Linked DNA regions of Neurospora crassa OR74A. The protein of the gene in region 1 purifies or fractionates together with the protein of each later gene. This does not show direct contact. Links are inferred from orthologs where the notes say so. Each region holds a gene or a part of one and is shown on either strand. Other genes may lie near its edges.

Region 1 (4,235 bases):
TCCAGCAGCTGCTAGTTTACGTCGCTTCATGGCTTCATCCTGGTCCGCTAATACCCTAGCAGTGAGCGCAGCCGTGGCGGCGTTGTTGATGCCACTCACCCGGCTAGATATACTCTCACCAGCACTCTTCTTGGCCTTCTTAGTCTCCTTCTCCTTGTCAGCGTCACCATTGGCCTCGTCAGCCGTGCGCTTGTTCTTTTTCTTCTCCTTGCTGGCGCTCTTGTCCTTTTTCAGACTGTGCGTCAGGCCTTTCGTCTTGAGATCCTCCATCCGCTTCGATAACCGTTGAATATCCGCCTTATCGGTCGGCAGAATGGGAATAACGTCCTCTGACTTGAATGGTTCGCTGCACTCTGGGCACACCTCCTCTGTGATCATCTGTATCGCCATCTCGGCAAAGACGTGGCCGCAAGGGACCAGATAGACGGATTTTGTAGATGGTCCCAGCTCTTTGAGCGTAACGGGACACGCAAAGATTTCCTTTTCTTTTTTGTTGCCACCCCCGGGCGGCGTGTACCGCTTGAACTTGAGCTTGACCACGTCGCGAAGGGATTTGATGCCGGTGGAGGCGAAGCTTAGCTCGGTCGCGAAGATGGCTGTTGGCGTTGCCGTCGACTCACCGTTGCCCACGCTACTGCTATTGGTGCTGGTATTAACAAGCGCGGGAGATGTTGTGTCTTGTTTGTTCTCGGAGGAGTCATCGTTACTACCGGGCATCAGCCCCTTGAGGATGGATTCGTAATTGTAGAGACGGCCGCGCCAGTCAGACACGACGGTTTCGAGATCAATGGGCTCGGAAGAGATGGGATCGTGGGTCCAGGCGTGGTTGAGCGATTCGAAGGCGGTGGCTTTAAGCTCGCTTATTGTCGGGTTGCGCGCTGCTTCTTTGACGAGCTCGCGTCGCTTGGGGATGGAGCCTCCGTCATTACCCATGGTGGTGATGGTGTGTAGGGGGCTGAGGGGATGGTTGTTGCTGTGGTCTTGGAGTTGGTTGAGGGTGTATGGTCCGTCAAGTATTATTACAGTAGAGGTATTTAGGTACAATTCGATGAAGAGAGTTGGCCGGAGACGGAGTGGCGTCGTTGTGTACACTGCAGGTTGACGGAATGGACAGAGCAAGTCGCGGCAGAGATAAGATAAGAAAGGAAGAAGGGGACGGGAAGAGCTGAGGTTGGTTGGTTCCTCCACTGTAAATTTAAAGTTCACGACAGGGGGCACCGGGCTTCCATCCGCAGCGGGATGAAGCGCGTCAAAGCGTGCCCCTGTGCCAATAGCAGTTGTCCACTGCAACCTGTAATTGGAGCTTGCAGATGCGTGCCTTCCACTGGCTTCCAGTTGTGTGAAATTCCCGTTGCAAGCCGTTGAGGTGTTCCAGGTGACTTTGAAGCCGAAGCCTCATGAGACGAGGCTGCAGGGGCGACAAGAGGATCCATGCCCGCCAGGTTTAGTAGCTCCACCGTATTTCCAATTCTCCATCTACATAGTAGTATACTGCCCTGAGCCCCCGCCGGCGACGGGGAACAACGTCGTCGACAAATTAACCAACGACCATCGGCTGCTTGGCACATTGTACGGCCCGCCGTGTTTCATCGCCGTTGTTGTTGATGATTTGGGGATACAAAGCTGAAATTCCGTTATATCCATCATTCGAGAAGCAGATTACTGTAGCGGACGCACACCCAACGCCCGCCCGCGCAAACATCGATCCCGCGGCTCGAGACCTTTCCGTCCCCCGGCCCCGGCTACCTATCCAGCCAGGGCATCCACACGGACCCTCCCCCTCCTCTCCCTCCTCCTCCCAAGACCCAATATCCATTGTGGTCCTTCATCCAGTGACGCAGCGTGGAACCCCTCCTTCTCGGGCTGGCTGTCGTCCACTCTCAAACTTCAACCCGACCGTTTCGTTTTCCCTCATCACCAACCACTTCAACGGCGACCCAACAGTCAAGGACCAGGGTCTCCCCAAGTTCCACCCTGTACCTTGACAGCCGGCGGTCTATCGGTCCATTCCCGACCTTCTCTCAACGACTAGTCTAAACTACTTTCCACTTCAGCTTGAAGGCTGTGATAGCTCCAAGCTTCTACGATACCCAGAACCACCCGCCTTACTTTTGATTTAGGCGCGCGTGGTCACAAGTTATAACGGATTTGCATTCTATCTTCGGCCTATTCACTTCGTCTTGCTGACGGTCATTACGACTCACGAGCGTGTTACGTTGCTGGACACTACCGCACGCCCATTTGCCCGTTCCATCCAAACCATTTCAATCGCATTTGACCCGAACATCACCTGCTCCCACATCGATCAACCTCAAACCAACCACTGCAACCGACCTTGCGATTGCGCTCAGCCCACGACCCGCGACACTCTTGACGACTGCGACAAGAAGGCGCAGCTGTTACACACGCGCCCTTCGCCTCGGCCGGTCAACCGGCTCTTGAAGCACGTTGGCCCCGCTTACTATGGGCCAGCGACGATAGGCCTAGTTGCAGACGAGGCTGTCCGACATCTGAAAAAGAGATCAAGACGTTATAGTCGGACAACACCAAGATGTCGCTCACAAAGGAGCAAGCAGCGGCAACGCTGGAAACATACATTCGCGATGTGAGGAATCGCACCTCTAGCGACGACGCGCGGAAGCGCGCTGCTCGGCAGATCAGAGATTTGGTAAACGTTGCGAAGCAAGGCAAGTCCACCAATTCCGAGTTTCTCCTCAGATTCCTGTCAGATATTGGAACACATGCTAACATACAAGGCTGTATAGAAATGGGCGCGGAGCAGTTTACGGCCTTTTTCAACACAGTCAACCAAAGGACCATGGCGCTTATACAAGGGACCGACACGTGTGACCGGATGGGCGGTGTTTACATCCTCGATGCTTTGGTCGACTTCGATGGTATCGACCTAGCCCTCAAGTACAGTCGCTTCGAGCAGCACATTGGCTACATCCTCCGCAGCAAAGACGTAACACCAATGCAGCCCGCCGCGGTCGTCTTGGGAAAGCTTTGCAAACCTGGCGGCTCTCTGATCTCAGAGCTTGTTGATGCCGAGGTCAAGCTGGCTCTGGAATGGCTCCAGTCAGAGCGAGTTGAAGAAAGGCGATATGCCGCCGTCCTTATTCTACGCGAGCTGGCACGCAACGCACCCACTCTCATGTACCCGTACGTTAACTTCGTCTTTGAGCAGTCCTGGATCGGCCTCCGAGATCAGCGACTGTTGATCCGAGCCACTTCTGCCGAGACAGTCAGTGCCTGCTTCAAGATTATTAGGGAACGTGATCAGGCCATGAAGCAGGAGTGGATGGACAAGATGTTCCATGAAGCCGTCAGGGGACTCAAGACAAACACTGTCGAGTCAGTCCATGCTTCTCTCTTGGTTCTCAAGGAGCTGCTAGAGCAGGGTGGCATGTACATGCAAACCCACTACGGCGAGGCATGCGATATCGTCTTCCGTCACAAGGACGCCAAGGACCCGGCTATTCGTAAGACGGTGGTCCTCCTCATCCCGGACTTGGCCAACTACGCACCGAACGACTTTGCATCAACATATCTGCACAAGTTTATGATTCATCTTTCTCATATGCTTAAGAAGGAAAAGGAAAGGAACGATGCCTTTCTCGCTATTGGTAACGTTGCCAACTCAGTCAAGAGCGCCATCGCTCCCTATCTCGATGACGTCCTCATATATGTTCGAGACGGCCTAAGTATACAGTCACGGAAGCGAGGTTCGGTCGACCCCGTCTTCGATTGTATTAGCCGTTTGGCCGTGGCCGTAGGTCAGACATTGAGCAAATATATGGAGGCGCTCCTGGATCCAATCTTCGCCTGCGAGCTCACCCCGAAACTAACCCAGGCTTTGGTTGACATGGCCTTCTACATTCCCCCAGTCAAGGCTACCATCCAGGAACGGTTGCTCGATATGCTCAGCAAGGTTTTGTGTGGAGAACCATTCCGACCGCTAGGAGCACCGCATCCCAACACACTCACTTCGATCCCGGCCATCCCAAAAGATCCCAAGGATCCATCAGTGCAGGAGCGAGGAAAGGCCGAGGTCAAATTGGCTTTGAACACCCTCGGCAGTTTTGATTTTTCAGGTACGTTACTCTTCAGTTCCCCAAGAAGCCGGACTGGCCAAAGAAATTCCAATCTCGGTCCGATGCTGCCAGTTACGAAGAAGGGCAGTCGTCGGGACATTGGCCGGCCTACACTGATACCCCATTGGAGCGAGAACTGAC
Region 2 (3,689 bases), on another chromosome or scaffold:
GCCTCACCGCAAGTCCGAAGGTTGAGTTCGGAACGGAAACCGAGCATGTGTGCTTCTCGAGATGCGGGCCAGCTTGGATTCATCCCAAGTTCGGACATGGGACGAAACCGACAGGTAGCACAGCCATGGCGGGCGACATGACGCAGGTCGCTGAGAGGAGTTGATCGGGCAAATAAAAGTCCAGTGCGGGAATGGTGCCCTGTGGAAGTTGGTTGTTCATGCTGATAACCGGAAGAATCCGAAAGCTTTGGCGGAATCGGGTACCCGTACCACACTCGGGCACCGAGAAAGGCTCCAACAGGTGGACGTCCGCTGCGAAGACGGGTTCTGAGACGCAAACAGCCGATCATGGAGTTTGAGATTGGTGGTGACTTGTGTAGAGTGTTCGTCAGGCCGGGGCTCGGTTGCGCAGGGAAAAGGCAAAAAAGGAACCTAGACAGGTCAGCCTCCACTCGTGCTCTCAGGTCTCATCGATGGCAATCAACCCACTCACTTACAAGAAGACTGTCCACGGACTAAGTAGGACTGTAAGGTGTCGGTGGTACAGAAGCAGGGCCCACTCGCGCTTAAAGTTGCAGGTCCCAGCAGATGTTGACCAACAGAAAGTGAATACTAACTGCCTCTAGTAGGTAGGTCACTGCACGGATATCGCCGGACGTACAGGGCACTCTATCACAGGCCAACCTGGGAGGCGGGGGACGGGAAACGGGAAGCAAGGGAAACAACACATCTGGTACTCGGATTTGCCGTAGACCTCACCAATGAGTGCGAGGTTGGGGGTGTCAAAGTAGCACATCCAAGACGGATATGGCATGGCTAATGACGGCATCAGATGGAATGAAGCGGGTGTCCTGGTACATGGTGTTTCGCGGCATCACAAGAGAGTCCGAGTGTGTGCGTGCTGGACGACGAGGGGAACAGAGGCCCTAAGAAGGAGGAGAATATGCTGACATTGAGATGGTGCTATCACTGGGTCATATAACAGGCGAGGAGGAAAATGGAAGTGGGTTATACGTGGATTCCAGATCTCGAGCAAAGGGAAGATGTTGATGTACATAAGTAGTAAATATTCATGTCTTGGTGAAGAAGTTAGTTGGTATTGAAGTTGTGCTTGATGGAAGGAAAGTTGAAGTTGGGAAACGGAATCGCTTGGGCTGTTGTTGCTGGTTGGTCGAGCATGTGTTAGTGAGTGCCGGTCCCGGCAGGCAGTTGCATCCACATCCAGTTCAAACCCACTTGACTCCGGCGGGCCCCACCGTTTGTCCCCTCCACTGTGGGGCAACCTTAAGTCCACTCCACTTCATAGGTCCCGTCCGTAGGTCTCTTCGTTGTGTTGCCTGCCCCGCCGACCTGTCTTGTCCATCCATGCCTGCAGCGCTGCTATCCGCTGCTAGGTATCAATCGGTGCGGTCCAGTGCCGTCCCGCGATCATCAGGGCCTCAGCTCCCGGCGTTGTTGACATCAGTTTCAATTCGGGCCATTTCGATATAACTTGTTCTACCGTGATCCACGTCTCTTCTTCCCATATCGACGCGTTCGTTGTCTGTCACCGACTGCCCAAGTACCGGTAGACCTGAAGAGTGTCTGTGGACTATGGAATCATAGCCTCTGTATCCCCGTCGCAGTCGCTACCTCTACCATGTCGGTTATCCTTTGCACAGGTATGGCTTGTCTTGTCCCGGTCTACCTTGCCGACGCAGTAATGCCCCATCCCCTTGATCCAGTTCCTCCCTTGTGCCGAATTGGAACAGCTGCTGACTCTTCGCTTTGCCCTTTACAGCTGGTTACGACCACACCATCAGGTTCTGGGAGGCGCTCTCCGGAATCTGCTCGCGCACCATCCAACACCCCGAGTCTCAAGTGAACCGTCTTTGCATATCCCCTGACAAGCGATACCTCGCCGCTGCCGGCCACCGCGATGTCAAACTCTTTGACATTCGTTCCACAAACCCGCAGGCCCTCATGACCTTCCAGGGCCACACCGGCAATGTGACCGGCGTGGCCTTCCACTGCGAGGGCAAGTGGATGGTAACAAGTTCGGAGGACGGAACGGTCAAGATTTGGGAAACCCGCACCGGAACCATCCAGCGAAGCTACAACCACGGCTCTCCGGCAAACGACGTTGTCATCCACCCTAATCAGGGAGAGATCATCAGCTGCGACCGCGCCGGAAGCATCCGACTGTGGGATCTGGCCGAGAACACTTGCTCGCACCAGCTAATCCCCGAGGAGGATGTTTCAGTGACAAGTGTCACGGTTGCCAGTGACGGTACACTTCTTTGTGCGGCCAACACTGCTGTAAGTTTTCTCTCCACCGAGTCATTCCTTGCTGTATCTTCCCGATATACTGACACCTCCTTTCTGTCTGCCAGGGCAATGTATTCGTTTGGCAACTCATCCAGGCCTATGACCGCACCCAGCTGATTCCCCTCACCCACTTTTCCGCACACAAGGAAAGCATCACGCGCATCCTACTCTCGCCCGATGTCAAGAAGCTCGCAACGTGTAGCGCCGACCATACGGCCAGGATCTGGGAAGTCAGGGAAATGGAACCTGCCACGGCCGATTCGGAACCGCAGGCGTTCCCCCTCGAGGCCACTCTCAAGGAGCACCAGCGTTGGGTATGGGACTGTGCCTTCAGCGCTGACAGTGCCTACTTGGTAACTGCCTGCAGTGATCATTATGCGCGGCTGTGGGAATTACACACGCAGCTTGTTATCAGACAGTACAACGGCCATCACCGCGGTATTGTATGCGTCGCTCTCAACGATTATTCCGAAGCTCGCTAGTGGGAACTTTTGGATGAAGATGAGGAGACGGCGACAATTTGCAACACGGCTGAAGTGTAGGGCGGCTGCGGAAAGATGTCAATTTTTACGTCTCTATGATGGGCTGTCGATGTAAGAGGAAACGAAGCTGCAAAGTGCAGTGTCATGGCAGGGGCATTTCATATGTGCTATTTTCCCCGGATATCCTTTTTGAGAGCGACTGGCGGGTTGTTTAGTAGAATCGGCTATGGCAATGGCGTTTTATGGTTATGCAAGTAATGTTTTTAGAGTGGAAAATCACACAACGACATGAATTCCCAAGTACGCCCGCCACGCCGTTTCATAACACTTGATACCTGGTAGCAAAAAGTATTGCTATATAACAGTAGACCACATTTCCGTCGGATATAAGAACAATTCAAGATGAAAGCTCGGCCGAAGTCCGTGACTGAGAGAATCGATTAGGAACATACGAGTCATGATTGGCTTGAATAGTCGAAAAGTGGATCAGCTGTGTGTTACGCCCCGGCTTGGCAGATTCAAAGTCAACACTGGTTCAAGGGTACTGCCGGCCTGGAGGGTTTTACTAGTGATCTGGAACTTTTGAGGACTTGCCTGGGCATCTCAGAATTCAGAATTGAAATCAAAGACAAAGCATTCACTTAAAATAGCTGGATGTTATTGGACAAAAAGACAGTTAGCGTACTTCCAGTGTATGTAGTGTACCGCAATCCCCGGATTTGCTGCTTGGGTGGCGGCGGCACTCACAAGTGGAATGGCTCCGTAATTCGGACCAAAGTGAAGATAGTGTAACCGGCAACTTTTCTCTCCTCTTTTCTTTCTCCAAACAACCAAGTTCCCCTTCTGTACAGTCTGTCACCATGAGGTCAATTGATCTCGCCAGTCGCTCAGGCGCTGCCC

The links. The genes of interacting proteins can lie anywhere in the genome.
Region 2: the proteins of NCU05608 (region 1) and NCU04281 purify together in Schizosaccharomyces pombe (affinity purification with western blotting; 3 studies listed by BioGRID, with this or other methods). This does not show direct contact. The link is inferred for Neurospora crassa OR74A from reciprocal best matches to the Schizosaccharomyces pombe genes tor2 and wat1.

The regions. Positions count from the first base shown.
Region 1 is NC_026506.1:1,348,270-1,352,504, reverse strand, and holds the start of NCU05608 (phosphatidylinositol 3-kinase tor2), read left to right. Parts: upstream 1-1,435; 5' UTR 1,436-2,551; coding exon 2,552-2,687; intron 2,688-2,765; coding exon 2,766-4,094; intron 4,095-4,235. Other genes in the region: NCU05607 (DUF602 domain-containing protein), read right to left, coding at 1-933.
Region 2 is NC_026505.1:5,484,169-5,487,857, reverse strand, and holds NCU04281 (WD-repeat protein pop3), read left to right. Parts: upstream 1-1,334; 5' UTR 1,335-1,639; coding exon 1,640-1,661; intron 1,662-1,780; coding exon 1,781-2,298; intron 2,299-2,372; coding exon 2,373-2,789; 3' UTR 2,790-3,189; downstream 3,190-3,689. Other genes in the region: NCU04280 (aconitate hydratase), read left to right, coding at 3,650-3,689. UniProt on the Schizosaccharomyces pombe protein: component of both TORC1 and TORC2, which regulate multiple cellular processes to control cell growth in response to environmental signals. Nutrient limitation and environmental stress signals cause inactivation of TORC1.